4 linked regions of the Caenorhabditis elegans genome follow. The protein of the gene in region 4 purifies or fractionates together with the protein of the main gene of each other region. This does not show direct contact. Each region holds a gene or a part of one and is shown on either strand. Other genes may lie near its edges.

What was found.
Region 1: the proteins of F31F7.2 (region 4) and gck-4 fractionate together in Caenorhabditis elegans (co-fractionation; one large-scale study listed by BioGRID). This does not show direct contact.
Region 2: the proteins of F31F7.2 (region 4) and lsm-5 fractionate together in Caenorhabditis elegans (co-fractionation; one large-scale study listed by BioGRID). This does not show direct contact.
Region 3: the proteins of F31F7.2 (region 4) and F16G10.2 fractionate together in Caenorhabditis elegans (co-fractionation; one large-scale study listed by BioGRID). This does not show direct contact.

What each region holds. Positions count from the first base shown.
Region 1 is NC_003284.9:13,675,344-13,682,891, reverse strand, and holds gck-4 (Protein kinase domain-containing protein), read right to left. Parts: upstream 5,633-7,548; coding exon 5,558-5,632; intron 5,508-5,557; coding exon 5,262-5,507; intron 5,020-5,261; coding exon 4,748-5,019; intron 4,691-4,747; coding exon 4,057-4,690; intron 3,959-4,056; coding exon 3,562-3,958; intron 3,492-3,561; coding exon 3,246-3,491; intron 3,140-3,245; coding exon 2,515-3,139; intron 2,389-2,514; coding exon 1,813-2,388; intron 1,766-1,812; coding exon 1,537-1,765; intron 1,494-1,536; coding exon 1,341-1,493; intron 1,291-1,340; coding exon 1,153-1,290; intron 922-1,152; coding exon 814-921; 3' UTR 552-813; downstream 1-551.
Region 2 is NC_003283.11:15,568,871-15,571,204, forward strand, and holds lsm-5 (U6 snRNA-associated Sm-like protein LSm5), read left to right. Parts: upstream 1-1,509; coding exon 1,510-1,785; downstream 1,786-2,334. Other genes in the region: acs-2 (Medium-chain acyl-CoA ligase ACSF2, mitochondrial), read left to right, coding at 1-254, 487-603, 651-815.
Region 3 is NC_003280.10:2,373,268-2,376,938, reverse strand, and holds F16G10.2 (DUF281 domain-containing protein), read right to left. Parts: upstream 1,667-3,671; coding exon 1,553-1,666; intron 1,431-1,552; coding exon 1,188-1,430; intron 1,137-1,187; coding exon 952-1,136; intron 627-951; coding exon 608-626; 3' UTR 528-607; downstream 1-527. Other genes in the region: F16G10.3 (Lipoprotein), read right to left, coding at 2,619-2,634, 2,801-3,000, 3,045-3,181.
Region 4 is NC_003283.11:6,269,147-6,275,420, reverse strand, and holds F31F7.2 (VWFA domain-containing protein), read right to left. Parts: upstream 4,570-6,274; 5' UTR 4,487-4,569; coding exon 4,142-4,486; intron 4,092-4,141; coding exon 3,828-4,091; intron 3,385-3,827; coding exon 3,198-3,384; intron 2,751-3,197; coding exon of another isoform or gene 2,645-2,750; intron 2,295-2,644; coding exon 2,178-2,294; intron 2,107-2,177; coding exon 1,834-2,106; intron 1,792-1,833; coding exon 1,472-1,791; intron 1,426-1,471; coding exon 1,135-1,425; intron 847-1,134; coding exon 574-846; 3' UTR 510-573; downstream 1-509.

The sequences.
Region 1 (7,548 bases), on a different chromosome or scaffold from region 4:
TTCCAATTTGTCTCCATATTACTTATTTCAAAAAATTTAAAACGCTAAAAAAAAAAAAAAATTTATAACATGTTTTATAACAAAACAGTAAGATGGTTGAATCGGGATAAAACGTATGAAAAAAAGAGTGGCTATGAAACACTCCTAATCTAGGAGATTTTATAAATTAGGAAAAGAAATGAGAAAAAAAGTTGTTGTAAGGAAGGAAAACATAACAATGTCTAGTTGGAAGATTTTGCTAATTATTAATTAACATACAGGTATGGTTAAGATTATTAAGGTTGTCATGCCTTAAAATAAACCCTCCCAACCTAGTTTTACATTAAAAAGAAACGAGAGCAGTCATTTACAAAAACTGAGTGGAGATCCAAAAATCGCAATTATTAGCATTTTGGAGAGAGAATTTGTAACAAAACAGGGGGGGGGGGCTAGGGTTTTGATTAATTGTGAGAGAAAACAAAGAGGAACCAAATTGGAATGGCGCCATCTTCAAATAAACCGTAGGGACAAGAGAAATGTTTGGGAAGTGAGGATTTGGGGGGGGGGGGGGGGAAGGCATACAATTTTAAGACACTTGATTAAAAAATGACCCATCTAGACACATAAACTAGCAATATACCCATTTCGGATCAACAAAAAAAAGTAGAAAAGTTGGATTGTATATAGTAAAACCACGGGGATGAGAAGAATGGAGACTCGAGGCAGGTGTCGAATGTGGTAAGGCACTGGTTGGGATGGGAGACAAAAACTGAATGGGAATGACAAATGGAATAAAGCAAAGGAACGTAGAAATGAGTCAGAAGCATAGAGCGTTCAAGGCATGTGACGGCCAGACAGCGTTGAGGCCTGAGACGAAGTGTACGACATTCCGTAGAACACTTCCTGCTTTGAGAGTTCGTCCTCAAACTTCTCCTCGAGCACCTGTAAAAACAAATAGATTAAAAATAAATTATGCATTTCATACAATTGAAATTATTTAAAAATTCACATGTTTTCGGGAATTGCAACAGCAAGTTACAAAAAAAAATGTTTAAAATTTAAGCTGTCTTTAAAAATGCCTCGTAATCGAGTAAGGTTCTTTTTAAAAAATTTTTAAAACTCTGCACGTTTACAAACTCCGAACACTTTTTCAGAAAAGTAGCCAAATCCTACCGTTTTCCTTGCAATCAAATTCTCCTGCCACAGCTCACGCATCTCGTGATACTTTGCCTCGTGCTCCTTCATCGTGTTCCTTTCTTTTTCCAGCAACTGCTTGCGCTTCTCGTTCTGCATCTCATCAAGCTCGATGATCTGTAAATATTTACTTATTCTAGTTGACCTTCCTTTAATCAAAGACATACCGCTTCCTGGTGGCGCTCCTTTAATATTTGCAACTTCTTCTGCGACTTCAAATCGTGATCTTCCAATGCAGCTCTCATGCGCAACGCTTCTTGCTCATCGAATCGTCGAATTCGTTCTTGCATTTCCGCGTTTGACATGTTCTTGAAATCATACTTATTCAATAGAATCATATTGTTCTTTAAAAAATGTACTTACCACTGCACTGATTCGCAGGCTCTCTTTGAACATCACACTACGAGTTTTCGTCTCAGAGCGCAACATTTTCGGTAGCTTTTTACGATCGAGTGTTAGTGCTCTGATGAGATCGTCTTCCTCTTCTTGATGAATCTTCTCGATTTGAGCCATTTCACGTTGGTGTCTAGCAAGCATTTGTGTGCGGAGAAGGTAGTATTCATCCTTGAATAGTTTTCGATGAAGTACAAATCTGAAAATTTAAAGCTTAATGAAAAACTAATTTACAGAAAAACCCACTTCTCTCTCATTTGCTTATCTTCCAACTCCCAAATGTTATTTTCTTTTGCTCGGAGCAAATTGTGCTTCTGCATCAGGAACTGCTTTTCAATAGATGCCATTCTTTCCTTATGCTTTTCAGCCATTCGTTGAAGCATTGCCTCCGCATTCTGTTGAAGTTGCATCAAAAAGTCCTTCTCCTTGAGTTGATGCTCAATCTCAATTTGCTCCTTCCGTTGCTTCAACGCATCTTTTCTCTGAACCTTTGAGAGCATCGTCAACTCTTGCTTAAATATCTTCATTTCTTGCTTCAGACGCTCTTTGAACGCTCGCATATCCTTCTCCTGTTCGATTCGGAGACGCTTTTGCGCATTTCGTAGTTCATGCTCCTGGGCACCTTCAGTGTCTTCAATCTCTTTTCGTTGACGGCGTTCCATAGCATCCATCTCTAGTTCCGATGTTCGTGTCAAGTTTGTTTGCTCCGATGTGAACTTTCTGGCTTGCTCTTCGACAAGCTTGATTCCCTCGGCCTGGAGTTCTTGCTTTTGACGGGCTTCGTCACGTTGAAGGCGTCTCAGATCGTGGAGTTGTTGCTTTCTGAAACTATCAGAACGTTAGTGGCGGGATTTGGTTTTCAACTTTTTTAAAATTGAATTGTCATTTTCGCATTTTGCTCACACATTAAATTTTCAGCATTTAAGTAAAATTTAATAGAAGGTATACCTTTGTACTTTATCATCCTTAACACCCAACACATGAACTGTGGTAGATGTGACTTGAACACCATCAATCATATACGTCCTAGTCTTTTTAGTAATTGTCTGCCGATTTCCATCTTTTCTCCCGCCAAGCGGTCTCGGAGCAACGTTTGAGTTTGTCTTCTGAACATCTGTAGATGTTGACGGAGTTGGTACAGGTTTTTGGGAGATTTTAGGAACTGGCACAGGCGAAGGAGCTGCATTCTCTTTAGCATTTCCTTCATAGTCTACTGGCGGCTCGGGTGGTGGGACTTTCTGCTCGCCATTGCGTCTTGGTCCATCAAAGTATTCTGGCACGGCGGACACTGATGTTGGGACATAATCTGTCGATGATGATGCAGAGTGTTGAACAACAGAGTTTGATGAACCACTCGTCCTCACAGATTGATTTGATTCGGCGCGTTTTGGAGGAGAAGCTCTAGTTTTTGTTGGAGTTGAGGCTGATGACACTCTAAGTTCCGTCTTTTGTTGAGCCATGTCCCGTACTGTCAAACTGGCTGACATATCTTGAGATGGTTTCTTAAAGAGTGCATTTGAGTGTTGAACCGCCTCCGCTTCCTCTCTGCTGACTTTTTTCTGGGCAACAATTCCTGAAATGATTTAAAATTGAGATTTGAAGGGGTATGGGTCTCGAAACGATAATAATTAAACATGAGTGCAGTATGTTTTTTTGCTTATACATATTTCAATACAAACCTTCTGGAATTTCCGTGATTGGTTGACTGATTGGTCGTTGCTTCGAATTAGAGCTGTCAGCAATTTTCTCTTCCATTTGAGTTCTAATATTGCTCACAGCATTTGCACGTTCGTTCAACTGAGCTGTAGTCTTTTCCATTTGCTGATGTGCCATCACGTATCCAGCATGCTCCGCGGGCTCCAACTTGTGGAAGGATAAATTAACACTTTCGTCGAAAGAAGATGCTGACTCCGAAGGTGAGAGTTCTGAAATAGTTTAGTTGGTAGAGTTGTTTTGTTATGCAATTAATAATCAAAGTCCTATTCAAATTCTTACGTCTCAACTGTGGACTTAGCGATGGTCTGCTACGGCTAGCCATTATCGTGTCACGAATCGAATGCTCAAACAATTGCTCCTTTTGTGGGGAATTGCGTGGAGAATGGCGCGGAGATTCGTGTGGTGATCGACGTGGAGATTGACGGGGCGACGCACTTGAACGTGGTGAGTTGAAAAATGTTGATCCTTGCTCGTCGTCCAATGTGGTGGTAAGCTCATCGAGAATACTGAGCGCTTCTCTGCGTGGACTGACAAACTCGTTGGCAGATGAAGGACTGCCGCTGGTATTGAGGCTAAGAACTGCTGGCGTGGAGAGTTGCGCACTACTCTTGTTGGTAGATGGTGTGGAGAACTCGGCAGTTCCTTCTGATGATGTGTTGCTGTTAGAGAAGGAGAACTGAAAGTTTTAAAGATTATTGTAGGAAATTACATGCCAGAGCATGAATTCAGTTTCTCTGTGCTAGTAACACAATCTACAAATGTATAACGACAAACCTCTGCAAAACTCGAATTCTCTGCTGGTTTCCCATTCACTACTGGCGACTGCCGATGAGCATTGACTTCTTGTGGTGGTGGCGGAGCAGCTCTCTTTTTGTGAGGAGTATCTGGTGGAGGTGTCTCAATGATGGGTACCGATACAATGGGAACTTTGAACCCATCACTAGTAGCCGGTCGAGGGCTATCAGAAGCCGAACTCCAGCTATCACCACGACGTTGAGAAATCTCATCGGATCCTGCCACTGATTCCTCATCACCATCAATGACAACTTCTTCTTGAACATCTGCGTACATTTCGGCGAGTAGATCCATAATCATTTTTCGTTTTGATGGAGCATTTTGGAACCACTGATGTTTGAAGATTTCAGCTGCCGGTGGACGATTTCTGGGATCCTTGACAAGGCATCGTGTGAGAATGTCACTGAAGGACCGGGTCCAGTGAGATGGTTGGAGAAGCGTTGGCGGCTCTGATTTCTGCACTTTGATAATAACTCTCATAACAGAAACGTCTGAATGCGGGGGCTCTCCTTGGGCCATTTCAATGAGTGTGATTCCAAAAGACCAGATATCCGAAATACAATCGTATGGCTGATCCTTGAAAGTCTCGCAAGCCATAACTTCCGGAGCCATCCTGGAAAGAATAATTTTTTCAGTTTTAAACCGTGATTTTAATATACATGTTACTTACCAATACGGTGTGCCAATAAATGTGTCTCTCTTTTCACGTTCACTCTTCAACTTCGCCGAAACTCCAAAATCGGCAAGTCGAACCTGACCGTCTTGGGTGAGCAAAATGTTGCCAGCTTTCAGATCACGGTGAATCACATTCTGGGAGTGTAGCCACTTGAGTGCATCACACACGTAGTATCCGATGTATCGGATTTGATCTTCCTTGAGTACATGTCCCAGCTCGACAATGATGTTGTCAACAGCACCACCTCCACAAAACTCGAGAAGCATCTGGAAACGATGAACAATTAAAAGGTTAGGGATAATCAGTATAACCCTCACTATTTTGTGATATTAATATTAGTTGCTTTATATTTTCTGGAAAAGTTCCAGCGCGCAAAAATTCTAAGAATCGATGAGAGTACACTAAATGGGATATGAAAATAGTACTACACAAGGAAATGCTCTTTCATTCTAATTTCAAACTTAAAACTTTACACATGTTTGGACCAAAACCTTATTCAGAAACTCACCGTCAGTTTATTTTCAAAAAAATAAGTAGAATAGAGTCCTAACATAACAGGATGACCCTTGCATTCGCTGAGAATTTCGATTTCAACAAGGAAATCTTCCAGTTCTTCGCCTTCTTGAATTTCAATAGACTTTGATGCGGCAAAAAGTTTGGGATCCGTCCGTGACACTGCTTTTTCAACTTTTCCAAATGCTCCATCGCCAAGCTCTCCAATAATGTTCCAGTGATCGCGTGGGTTCACATTGTCCTGAATTATTGGAATCTTGGTTTTCATTTGAAAAAAACTTGTGAACTCACATAAATGTAACTAGGTAACTTCTTCTCCGCTTGATTGGCACGAAACAAGTTTTTGACTTTATTCAAAAACGCCATGGTGGCTAAAAAGAAAGGTGAAGCGACGGCGAATGCAGTCACACCTCCTTTTATACAACGCGACCTCTGGAAAAATCGGGGTTGAACATATGTTGTGATTATCAATGTTGACGGATAGAGAAAGTGCAGTAAAAAAAAGCGCGAACACATGACGGTTTGTTCACATACAAATATGTAAGATGCGAGAAGAAAAAAATGGAAAAAAATGGCTACACTAAAACGGGAGAAGTGTAGGAGGGAAAGCAAGAGAAAGTGATTCAGTGGTAAAAATGCATGATAAACTTTGACGGTAAATAATATTTTTTTTGTTGCTTTTGAAACTAAATGAATGCTATCTGATTCAATCATGTACTTTAAAAAAAACACTTAAAGTACAAAATAGGTTCAGAGCTCCGTTTCATGCATATTTTATGTGAATTAAAAAATGCCGGTCATAAAATGAAATACATTGAAAATTTGAGAGTTGTTTTGGGAAAGCAGGTCAAAAGGGTAATTCAAGTGGAAAATGCATAAGTATTGAGAGATCACATTTCTAGATATTAGAAACTGGATAAAACAGCAAAAAATTGCAAATAAAACGTTTTGAGCTTTTCAGGAATGCGGGTAAATATTTGTAGTTTTTCATTTTTCCGAAAAATTTATTTTGACTGAAAATGTGTGTTTATACTGACTAACCGAAAGCAATGAGTAACAAGGAAAACAGTGTCTTTGAAGAGAATAGGAAACATTCTAGATTAAAAATTGTTGAATCTTATTTTTTCAAAAGATTTGTCATTTGTATAGAAAAACCTGGAATATAGAAAATCCTGGTATAAAAAACTGTAAAAACAATAACATTCGAATACAAATTCAATGCTAAAAACTCCAACAGGTTTGTTATTCTAATTTTAAATGAAGAATGACTCTTTTTAAGCGCTTTGAATACAATGAAGTTTGATCAATTTGACCGCCGAATTTAAGATTTCCTACACCTACTTCGTACAAACAAGTTCAGGAAAAATGGCAAAGTTGACAAGCCCTGTGATAAATAATAAAGTTACAAGGAAATACAGTGATTTCAAGAAGCTACATGGATTGAAAATAGTTTCTGAAACAAAAACCATAGAAGGGCATATGATGTCTAGTGCTGAGCGCTATCTAAAATTGAGTGGGCAAGAATTTTAGAAGAATTTTAAATTAAGATAATCCGATCAATAATTGATAATTATACTCTTCAATTTTTGACCGCATTTTATACAAACAGAGACAAAAAAAACCTCACTCTCTCTCTTACACAATCGTGTCCTTCTTTTCCGTCCGACAAAAACAGTATTTTCAACAAGTGGCCCCCTACCGGCCCACGGCCCGTCTGTACGCGCACACACAAGAGTAGTGAAGGAGGGGGGATGAAAAAAGATCGGAACGAGAGACAGAAATACAGACGCCAGGACACCTTTTGTATATACTCCAACCTTTCTTTTCCATAAAAGACGAGCGGGAATAAAAGGAAGAGACTCGGGAATGAGTGGAAGAGGGAGAAAGAGAAGCGGTGAGAGAGAGAGAGAGAGAGAGCAGTGCAAGCAAACTATACGGCAGTAGCAGAGAGAAATAGGTATTGCCGCCCGCCGCCCGCCAAAGTCGAACCGAAACTGACTGGGTGTCGGAAGACGACTCAAACTCAACTCAACTGTGACAGTGTTGGTGCGGCGAGACAGTGGCGGATATGCAGACACGCAGGTGGTTAGAAAAATTGAGAATGTGAAACTGTGCGCGCGCGGGACACAGGTATATAGATAGTAGGTAGTGGGAGGGAGAGGGAGCATAGATTAAAAAGGAACGCAGGATGAGAGGCAAAGAGAGAGGGGGAGGTCGATTGACCGTATGAGATAGGGATGGTTGGGCATCCCGAGAAGTTTGTAAAACTTGGAACGAAACTT
Region 2 (2,334 bases), 9.3 Mb from region 4:
CTGGAGCTAAAGGAGAGCTCTGGTCTCGTGGCTACTCGACTATGCTCGGCTACTGGGCCGACCACGACAAGACCAACTTGGCAATTACACGTGATCGCTGGTACAAATCTGGAGATACCGCCACGATGAACGAGGATGGAACTATCAATATTGTCGGTAGAACTCGTGACATGATTGTGAAGGGTGGTGAGAACGTCTATCCGACCGAAATCGAGCAGTTCTTGCATAAGTTGGACTATGTCGCTGATGCTCATGTAAGTTTGGGAGCTTCTATCTTTGCTCTTGGGGGTCCAATCAAAAAGTTTATTAAAATATCAAAAAGTTTATTAAAATAATCTACAGAAAATTCTCTACATTTACTCAGTTGGCAACTTTTTGATACTTGTAACAACTGGCGAGTTATTCTCGTTTAAATCAAGGGCACCATGACTACTTATGGCCTGAACTTCAAACTTATGGCCTAACTTTTCAACAAAAAAATTCCAGGTCGTCGGTGTGCCAGATGACAGGTACGGAGAGAACATCTGCGCCTGGGTGCGTCTTCGCGTTGAGGATGAAGGAAAGATCACCGCGGAGCACATTAAGAAGGCTTGTAAGAGAGGAGTAAGTTATTAATCCATTATTTTAAAATATACAGTCGAAATTTCCAGATGGCTCACTACAAGGTTCCAAAGTACGTGCTCATCAAAAAGGAGTCCGAATTCCCTCTCACAATTTCCGGAAAAGTCAAGAAATTCGAAATCCAAAAGATTTCCAAAGAGCTGTTGGGTCTCGGAACTGTCAAGTCTCACTTCACAGAAGCTGTCGACAATTAAAATCGGGTTGAACATATTTCCTATATTTTAAGTTGCCTTTTCGCTGGGATTTCCTTGCTTTTTACGGTCTAACCGCTATAATTGTAATAGTGACATATTTAACCGGGTTTTTATGTACTCTTCCGTGTATTTGCCATGTATTTAATTGTGAGACTTGTACAGAAATTGCGATTTTCTCTGAATAAATAGCTTTAAAATTCAAAATTCCCTCCAAAAGTGTACAACGACACTCCGAAATGACGCATAGTCGCCTTGCTTACCGTAAATCGACACACATTTTTTTAAAATCGAAAACATTTTTTTGTTGGATTTTCTTCGTTTTCCCTCGATTTTCTTGGAATTTTGTGAGTTTTTATTGTTAAAATATTTTAAAATTGCATTAATGGTATTGTTTTAACTGTATTTTTCATATGATTTTCGATTATTCCAGCAAAATTCTTGTAGAAACGACTTTTCATCAAAATTTTCTAAAATCGATTGGAAATTAACACGAATTTTACTGAAAATGAAATTTATGTGCAAATTACCGGTGAATTCAGCGAGAAAACATCAAAAATTCTGGAAAAATAGGCTTTGAAAAAATTTTTGTGAGGAAAAATTTTAAAAAAACTTGATAAATATCATCTTTTCCCCTCATTTTTCCTGTTTTTCAGCAATTCCTCTCAAATTTTACCCGATTTTCTTTCCAGAAACCATGGCAACCTCAACATCCACCAACCCAAACACACTTCTCCCACTGGAGCTCATTGACAAGTGCATCGGCTCGAAAATCTGGGTGATAATGAAGAACGACAAGGAGATCGTCGGCACTCTGACAGGCTTCGATGACTACGTGAACATGGTTCTGGAGGACGTCGTCGAATACGAGAACACCGCCGACGGCAAGCGAATGACCAAGTTGGACACGATTCTTCTCAACGGAAATCACATCACGATGCTCGTGCCGGGAGGAGAAGGACCAGAGATTTAATTGATATCTGTGAATATTGTGATTTTCTAATACTTTCTATTTTGCCACGAATCTCTCCGATTTTGAAATAAAAATTGAAGGAAATTTTGGAAAATTTTATAACAGGAACAAAACAGAATGAAGAAGCAAAAAGAAAACAATTTTTTTTAAATCTGTTTTTTCAGCATTTTTCTCTTTTTTTTCTTATCACTTAACAAGTACTTGTACATCTTGCAGGTCTTGTAGGATCATATTCAGCACGTGTTGAGAATAGATAGCAGCTTTCTGATGCTCTAAAAAGGCTTAATTGTTCAGATCGTCCCTGGAAATAATTTTTCGAATTCTGCTCGAGCTGAAAATACAAAAATAATCGCAGAATCGCCCAAAATACGTGAAAAAGTGAAAATACTTATCGTGTTTGATAGCAACCTTAATTTGTCCTGTTAAATGACAAAATTCTTAAGTTGAACTGTATTTATTTTAAGTTTTCTGCCAATTTTTTCCAAAAAATCAAAAAAGTTTCCCGATAGTACTGTATTTCCCAGAATACGTAAATGCGTATAATGTATC
Region 3 (3,671 bases), on a different chromosome or scaffold from region 4:
AGTCGATTATTGCATTCCTGTATTGTGTAAGAACTAATACTCTTTATTCAAAATAAATTGTTTTAATCAAAGGAGAAATACGATATAAATATCATTTACAAATGTAACTTCGCATTCTTCCTCCAATTCATGAGGTGGCAAACTAGACTCAAATTAAATTAGTAGATCTTAAATAATTTATGAGCCACTATTTTTAGAGCCAGCTTGATCCGCGTTTTAGGCAAGTCATAAAACGATAAATGATCCCGTCTGCAGTATGAAAAATTCATGCTGGAAAGTATTGTATAAGACAAAGGAAATAAATAAAAAGTCGCTGAAACGGGGGAAAAAATTCAACTCTTATATTTTTGTGTTCTCTAGAACACTGCTCATGTATCACGAGATGAAAATTTGGAATGCTTTTCAATACATTTATGTATTGTTCTAATTGTGAGTTGTACCGTTTCACCCGGGAATGCAAATTGACATCACTTTTTGCTAACTTATTTTTTAACATATATTCATTTTTGGTCTGTACACAAAATTATACATGTTTCAAAAATTGTTTATTCGCAGAACAAGAATAATGTAAATGAATAATCCAGTAACTTGTTCTCCATCCATAGACCTATCCGGAAATATCAGCACTGAAACAAAAAAAAAATACTATGGAAATAACTTGAAAGTCCACATAATAACAGTGTGTAGTTTACTTTTTATAGATTCCTAAATCTAGCTAATATCTATATCTAGCTAATTCTAAATCAAGCTAATCCCCAACAACTCACTGCAAAGTGTAGACAAACCTCAAGGTTTGTAACACAATTTTACAATTTTTTTTGTTTTTTTCTTCAAGACAAAACAGTTTGCATATGTACAACTACTGTTTTCAACTGAATAAAACGCTAAGTTTACTTCAATCTTTTGAAATTCTCAGTAACAATCATAATTTTTAAATAGGCCCCCACTTACCACGCCAACTTTAAAACTTCAGATTTTTTCCCATCCATCGAACCATCTGCACCAATTAAACCAGCAGGAGGTGCAGCAAATCCAATTGGATATTTCGTGATCATCCATTTATCGCCATCACAAATGATTCCCAAAAGGTCAGTTATACTCTCACCATCGGTTCCCGTCAATTTTGAGGTGATTTGCTATAAATTGTTTCATACTTTTCCGATGAAAGATATTATCCTTTCACTCACAAATGATTGGGTTTCCGGCACTTCAGATGGCCGTGGTACTTCACTTTTATCAAAAGAAGAGAGTGCAAGAAACACTTGGTTATCGGGACAAGTTAACACTTCGCAGCCGTCTTTCTCAACGTGCTCCACGGGTGTGAGAGAGAAAACGATAATGGAGAGAGAAAATCGAAAATGGATAATGGACTTACTTTCAAACAACGATTCCAAATCTCCACACGGCGAAGTTTTGATGTCCAGGCATTCCTAAATACTTGATTTTTTTTAAAACTGATTTTTTAACAGATTTCCGAATGACAATTCTTTAAGAAAATTGGAATATTGGAAGCGCTTCCATAGCAGTTTAAATTCAGAAAAAAATCACATACATCAGGAGCCATGGTGACAGGAATATAGGCTTCATCCGGTGGAACTGTTCGCATGCAACTTTCTGTTATTACCATCAAGCATAACAGAAGGGAACATGACGTTACAGTATTCATAATAAAACGAGAAGTAGGGAGGAAAACTTTGATATAATGATTTTAACTACTAATCCATTCCTATTCCTATGCGTAAAGCATTAAAAGAAGTAATAAAAGCCCGAATAACACCTCGATAAAGCGGTCTTGGGTTTGGAAAAGGAATAAATTATGTCATAAAGACGGATGGGCTAATGAATACGAATCGACTTTCGAGAAGGGAATGGCGAAAGTAAAAAGAGCAAATTAGTCAATTTAGTCGAACTATGCATTCGTCAAAACTAGGCGTACATATTTGAAAATACTTATTAAGAAGTTAGTTCTAAAATAACATTTTTATGAAATCATTAAACTCACAGTTGATGGTGTGTTGGCAATACATTTGGCTTCCACGTGGCCAAACAAACACAGAGTCATAAACATGAAAAAGTACATTTTGAAGTACATCGCCCTTGTTCTTCTGGGATATTGGCAGAATTTTTATAGAAAGTGATTATCATTCCACAGTGGCCGGAAATTAGCATCCATTTTGCATCCATTTGCAGGTACATTATATGATAATTACACTGGTCTCTTAGAATTCTAACTGATAAGAGTTTAGAAAATTAAACCAGATAGTTCAGATATTTCAAGAAGTATATCAGTAGAAATAAGACATTATCCAGATAAAAACTTTGAACCGCCATAACGTTTTCGAGAAAGTCAGCCAAAAACCGTTCTTGACACGTCTAAATTAGATCCCTTTCAAGCTATTTCTTGCCCAAACTTGTCTGGTTTGTGTGATATTTTTATTATACATCCTCCTCAACTTCTTACGTCTTGAGTATCATTTCTCGGTCATATTCAACCCTTGGGGTGTCGATTATTGTATTCCGCGAATGTGTAAAAATCAATGCTATTTTTTTTTAAATCAAATCGTTTTATTCAAATGAGAAATACGATGTATCAATTGTTAATTCAATCCTCATCCAATTTACACTTGATCAGTGCTGAAACAATAAATACAACAAAAATGAGATAAGAGTTGTGAAACTAACTTAAAGACTTTCCAGTTTTAAACAAAAATTTTATTCTAATTGTTTTCGCGGTTAAAAAAAACCTTATTCTCACATCTAACTTGAAATTTTCCTAGAAACTTTAAAATTTATGACCCACCAATAGATCGTAGTCACTTTAGACTTCTTTCCGTTATACGATGCATCTGGGCCAGTATATGCCATGTTTCCATCTTTGACATACGCTATTCCATCAGGATAATTTGTGTATATTAATTCACCGCCTTCACACATTGCTCCAAAATATTCAAAAATCATGTCTCCGTTGATGTCGGCCATTGAATCTTTATTTATACTTCCCTAAAATAATTTTAAGCATTCAGATTGAAAAAGAGTTTACCTACAAACGTCATATAATCGGCATCAGCATCAATAGGCGCTGGTATTTCACTTTTATCATAAAGAGAAGAGACAGCTGGAGTTTTGCCTGCGGGACATTTTAATACAGTGCAGCCATCTTGGTCAACAGTTTGTACTTCGTCTAAAGTTGTAAAAATATCAAAACATTGAAAAAGTTAGTGATGATGCTCTAATTTAAAGGTGGAGTAGAGTTAAAAATTTTTTTTTGCTTTAAATGACAGAAAATGGACCCTAATAACCGAATATAACTGTAAAAAAATTTTAAAAAATTTTCTAAATTTTTTATGATTTTTTCAATTTTGAGAAAATCACAAATGAATGACGTCATTTTGGATATTGTCGCGTTTTCTGGCTAAATTCGTCGATTTTTCTCGATTTTTTCTCTATATTTGATTTGAAACATTGTTTGTCAATTATTTAAAATAGTTATTTCGAAAAAAAATTAATAACAAATATTAAATTGCGGATTTTAGGCCAATTTTGACATTTCTGACATTTTCCATAGGGTTTTCAAGTTTTTTTTTTACGGAAAAGTGGTTACATAATTGACAAACAATGTTTCAAATCAAATATAGAAGAAAAAATCGAGAAAAATCGACGAATTTAGCCAG
Region 4 (6,274 bases):
TATTTAACGGTCGCGACGGTCACCTGACAATCAGGAAACCAGGAAAAGAAGCTGATAAGCAAAGATTGCAGTTGCAGCTCCAAACAAGACGCCAACTTTCTCTTTTTTATTAGGTGAGAAAGAGCAATTAGATAACATTGGGGGGTAATAGAGAAAGTTAAAAGAACACAGATGAAAGCTTGGAAAACGTTACAGAATAATGGGAAAGGTTGTAATAAATAGTAAATGAACGGTCGCGTAGGCGAGAAGTGAGACGAAAATGTGACAGAATAATGGACAAAGCTGGAAAGAACTAAAAACAGGAACCTGTTTTGTGGACACCAAAAATGTTATTATTATAAAATTTTTAATAGTGCTCACAATCAGAATCTTCTTATTGAAACTAATTAAACGTTCGGCCTAACAAACTTCTTACCATCTCCATTGTGTGGAAGATTTGCGAAAAAATAAACGTTAGCTTTGTACCTGAAATATTTTATGTGACTTTTGGTATATGAATCCCGATGAACAGTTTATTGAGTGAATTATTATAATGAAAGACAATCTTTTTTGAAAACCGCATCAAGTTAAATCTTATCTCCTTGAACCTCTTTTCTTTTCTTTTTCAATGAAAGCGCTATAATGTTCGGCCCATATTCTTTGCTGCCTCCACAGCCAAATTGCAACACTTTCTCTCTGGTGCACGGTGAACACACTTCCGTCGAACCTCGTGATTGGTGCCAGCTTGTCTTTATTGAATGATCTGGTTACCACTGCGAAGATCTTTACATGAAGATGATCATGAAGATTCACACTTTCTTTATCAGCATTATCATCCGAATAGCCGTCCGAAACGAGGCAGAGCACCTGTAATTAGGCTTTTTGTTCAAGCTTGAAGACTTGAGAATAGGAGAGAGAATCTTTTAAAAATCTCAATATTTTGATCGACTAAATGATCTTTTTTCTAAAATCTTTATTCAAAAAAATTAAACCATACATGTAGTTTTATTGACATTTTGGCATTAGTTGTTTGAACACTTTCAAAATTTACTATCTACAAAATTACGAAATCACAAAAGATTGATGGCTATTTTAATTGAACTTTTTTTCTTGTTTCAAAATAAAAGCAATACAACGGACACAATACAAATTTACCTGAAGTCTGTCATGTTTGGGAGTTGGTAAGTACTGATGCTTTTTCGTGGTCTTCTTCAAGTTCTGCTCATGATACATTATTCCACCCGCAAAAGCCAACGCCTTCGATAGCATTGTTGCTCCTCCGGTATAGGAAAGTCTCATCACGCCTCGACGAACACTTTCATACGAATAGTATTGATCGAAGCCGAATACGACACTCGGATCTTGAGAATATTGAATCATTGCTATTCTAGATCTTCCGGGAGCAATATCAACATCTTTCAGTATTTCACAAATGAAGTTCTTTTGCTGAAAATTTGAACTGCAAACCTGATTTTAAAGTACTTAAACCTACAATATCAAAGTTGTTTATCCCTATACTGCTTGAAGTATCCACTAAGAACATCAAGTCAATTGGAAGAAGCTTTCTTGCTGGATGGTCTCTTGGTAAGTGTGTTCTTCGATTCAACTCTTCCAAATCATCTTCAGTCGTTTCAGTGACATCACTGCCCGAACTTTCAATACTTTCTGGTGTTCCAGAAGAAGTTGCATCATCTTTCCCATCACTTCCATTATGCACAGGACTTGGAATAGGAGTCACCTGAATCTCTACATCTCTCGGAGTTCTTGGTGACGCAATACCGGAGTCTCTTCTGTGCTCTTTTCCTCGTCCTCCTGAAATGTATATGAGAATTTGTAAAAGAAACACTCAAAAGCTTTCCTTTCCTGTATGCTCCGAATGATCGTGGAAATGTGGATTTTGATTGAATGGCGGTAAAATTTGAATTTTGGATCCTTGCTGGTAGGCCATATCTAGCTGACGATCGAACTGAGCTTGCATCATATCCTGTTGCTTCTTCATCTCCTCCGCGTGCTTTTCTCCATATGTTATCTGTTTCTGCATCTCGGTATGAAGTTGAGAAGTGAAATATTCGTTTTGTTTCCGAAGTTGCCTCTCCGACTCTGTTACTCGGTGACGCAAGCGGCGATCTGAAGTTTTGTGGTACAAACAAAAAATGTTTGCATTATGTGAAATTTTAGAAAAAATTAAGAAAACTAACTCTCTTCGTGGTAGCTGTAAATTGCGTAGGCCAATAGAGCTGTCAGGATAATAGCAAAAAATAAAATAGAAGCAATAATAATCCAACAGAGTGGACCGAATCGAGTAGATGAAGAGCCTGAAAAACAGATAATACGTTGAATAAACGTAGGCATGCAAATTATCTTCCACCTGTTCCAAGGCGACCTTCGCCTCTCTCGAGCCTACGTCTGTGCCTACTGCCAAAAAACTTATAATCAATTCCTCGTTTTTGGGTAAATTCTTAACACCTGAGCCCACAATAAATTGCAGAAAACAGACTGTAGGTAGGCCTGTAGGAAGTCAGATATGTGCCAAGCGTTTATTCTCGAAATTGTCAGTCTACAGACTGGAATTATTTTAGTAAATTCTCAAATATATTCCTTCTAGTTATTATAAATATTTAATACATTTTCTGAATGAGAACCACCCAGCGTTATCTAAACTTACATGGAACTGTCCAGAACACTGTCTGTTCGGCGTTTTGACGATGACAACTAGTGGAGTTCCAATTCAAAAAGTTCCACCACGAAACATCAGCAATTATTTTACTCATCCATAAAACTTTCAGTTAGATTTAAAAGAAAAAATACAAATCGTATATGTCGGGTGGTCAAAAAGGAATGCCTTCCGTCTCACTATTGCGACTTTGGACACCCATGACAACGCGATGGGCTCTTTGGAAAAAGAGAAACAGGCTCGTAGAAAAAGATGACACCAAACACTAAAAAATAGGAAAGCGAGGAGATGTCTAGATTTGGAAAATGTTACGAAATGAAAAGAGATAATAGATTTTTATCATACTATTCCACGATCAGATTTTATTTTTCGATTGATATTGAGCTTCAACTAGGAATATAAGGTGAGGAATGGTAATTTCCTAATAGTCAGTCTAGAAAAACACATGAACTTCAGATTTTAATAAAGTTACCATTATTAGCAGAAATGATATATCTTTTTGGGGCACGACACAGCATAAACATGTTTATTTCAAATAACTGACCTTTAATATAAGCATTCACACTCTGGCACAATGGAGCAACCAAATGAGGAAGATGTTCAAAATCTGTGACTTTGATTCCAACTGTGTGCGCCGATGGTTCAAATCGAGAAACATGCATATTTGAGCCGATAACCACGTAAAAAACATGGAGTGGTGACGTAGGCGAGATGAGTGGCTCGTTTGGAAGCTGGAAAATCAGGAATGAGTTTTGAGGAACGGTCTAACTGCTAGAATTCTCATAAATTTCCAAAGTATCATAAATCGAGTGCTTAGTAGGCACTGCCTACATGCAGGCGAAATTCGCCTAGAAGGCGACCTACCACATCGTGACTCGTAACTTCATTTGCGATAGCTTCCTTAACGGCAAACTAAACGTAGCTGTTCTGATTATAATAGGCATTTGGCGCAACTTTTTGTTTAAAGCAATTTGGCCAAAAAATATTATCTTACAATTAGTTCAGAAGTTTGCAACACTTGGCCAAGTCTTGCCAACTTCTGAGCCAAGTTAGTATTTTTGGAAAACAGTTGCTCCAAGTTCCAAGTAGGAAAAATATGTAAAACTACAAAATAATGAGTAAGTCGTTAGCCGATTTTTTTAATTTCATAGTCCGGGACAACGCTAACACTTACCACTTCTATCAATGGCTGATAACTGTTAGAAATGACCAGAATCACGTCTGGAACTGATTTCCTATTTGCTGTATTCATTGTAGATCTTGTTAATGCATTTATACTCGTAGTTGGACAAGTTTCTAATTCACATGGACAATATGGTGCTTCTTGAACTTTTGATTCTGGGTATGTCGAGTTAGCAAGACTCCACTCAATTCTAGACCAAGGTGTAAACTGAGCCATTGCGACTTTCGAAGATCCCATTTTCATAGTGGACATTACCTGTAAAAAGTTATAGATCATAATTCTATTTAATTAAATTTGGAACCAACCTGTCTCAAAAAGTCAATCTCCGCGCGATGCTGGAAGGATGTTATTTGTGGTGTTGAATCTAAAATGAAGAGAGCATCTACTTCAGGCCAAATGCATCCTATCACTAAATTCACTTCCAGTAATATAACAATACAGTACAGTAATAATCTATGAGGCATCTTATGTCGTTTTTGTGAGTGGGGATATAACAAAAAAGCAACTAAAAATTGTTGCTCTCTCGTTTTTTTTCTTTCTTTTTTCTCGTTTTTTTGCTTTGTTGTCCTGTTGCTAAGAGGTGTGGTGTGATGCCGATGAATCTTTTTTTGGATGTCTCCAAAGTTGTATAGTTGCTTTAGAGCCCTCATAAATAAATGAGCAATTTGTGTTGTCTCGGAACAATTTTGGTATTACTGGTTCGAATGACTGACGGAGAAAATGGAAGAAAGTTCTAGAAAAAAATTCTAAACTCGCACTATCTCAATTACAGTCTCCATGGTATGATCACTCCAAAATATCAAGTTGTGTTGCTCTCAATATTGGCTACGAAATATGTTTTCGATTACGACTTTGATTACCTATTTTTATTGCACCTTCATAGATTCAATATTCATTTTTTACTGCTCTCTGATAGAGAAACAATTTTTTTCAAAGGTGAATTGATTTTGGAAACCAAACGGACAGTATGAGTCCTAAATAACCTAAAGAGATAGAAAGAAACAACGGTCTAATTGTAAATGCAAATCCTGTTTATGTTACTCAATCCTCTTTGTGTCATTCTCTATTTCTCTTCAACACGTTTCAAATGTCCACTCACGAGTATGCACATACAGATCGAGAACATCTGTCCACGCAATATTTATCACTTCCCCCTCCTTCTCATCGTTTTCTTCCTTCTTCCTGACAATTTCATCCGTCCGGCAAACCACTTCACCGCGTCTCCCGACCGGTGCCTTGTGACCAGTTCTTCTTTCTACGAGCAACTGCTCATTGCTGGAGTTTTGGAAGAGAGAGAGAGATGCTCTCACTGTCTCTTCCTCTTTCTGCACAATTTGCGCACTTATGTAAGTACTATAGTTTGCTTAGTGATTATTGACATTAGTGGTGACTCCAGTCAAAACGACCAAGGACTTCCTGAATATGATTTTTGCGGCACGCGTGTTATCTCTTTTGTCTTTGGCATAAGCTTGTCGGCTCTCTCAGAAATAGATTCATTCAAATGTTTCTTAAATTACCTTTGATAGTCTCAAGTTATTCTATTTTATAGGAAATTGTTATCTCCGTATACCATTTAATATTTATTTTGCACTTGAACGTATAAATATTGCAACAGTTTCGGTTCAGAAACTTTTTGGCATAAAATTTGAAAATTTTCCTCTCAGCGATTGATTACTCAAAAATATTATTGATTAATGAAATTATTATTGAAAAATTATTAATGAAAAAATTAACTCGAAAAAATATACTCAATTGAACCAATAAAATAAACTGCTTATTATAGTTTTGAGAAATTGATATTTTGATATTCTTGAAGCAAAACGATTAATTGATTCTATCAATTTTACGAATGCGTCGCAAACCTGAAAAGCATAGAATTTTTTTAATGATGAAAGGACCAGCTCTACATACTTATTGTGGCACCATAAATCGTATTTCCCTATTAGACATGTACCCTTGTTCTACTCTGACAGCCTACATCTCTGGTTTCTACGTGCTCACCAAAAATTCTCAATTGACAAAACACGTGAAAAATGTTTCTCTACGTTTTTTGCAGTATAACGTTTTTTGATAAATTTTAAGACACCTCATATATAATCCGTTAAAGTAGAGCAAGTCTATTAGAGAAAACACGATATTTTAGAAAATGAGATGTTGGCATTTTTCAGAGGTCCAGCAGGAAGACCTTTTTCATTATCATCAGAATATTGGCATAAGCAATTTTTGCCGTTTAGTGAAATGGAATTAAACCCAATCCCAAATCGCTTTTTTAGCATTTCAATATTTTGACAGAAAAAACGCAACGCCTCACCATTCGACCTAGAATGGCAAGTAAATTATTTTTAATTAGTTTAATGTCACATATGTTCTCCAACTGGTGCCTCTTATCAAAATTCGTGTGACACCGCTCAAAATAAATTTCCCACGAGTTTTGTAGA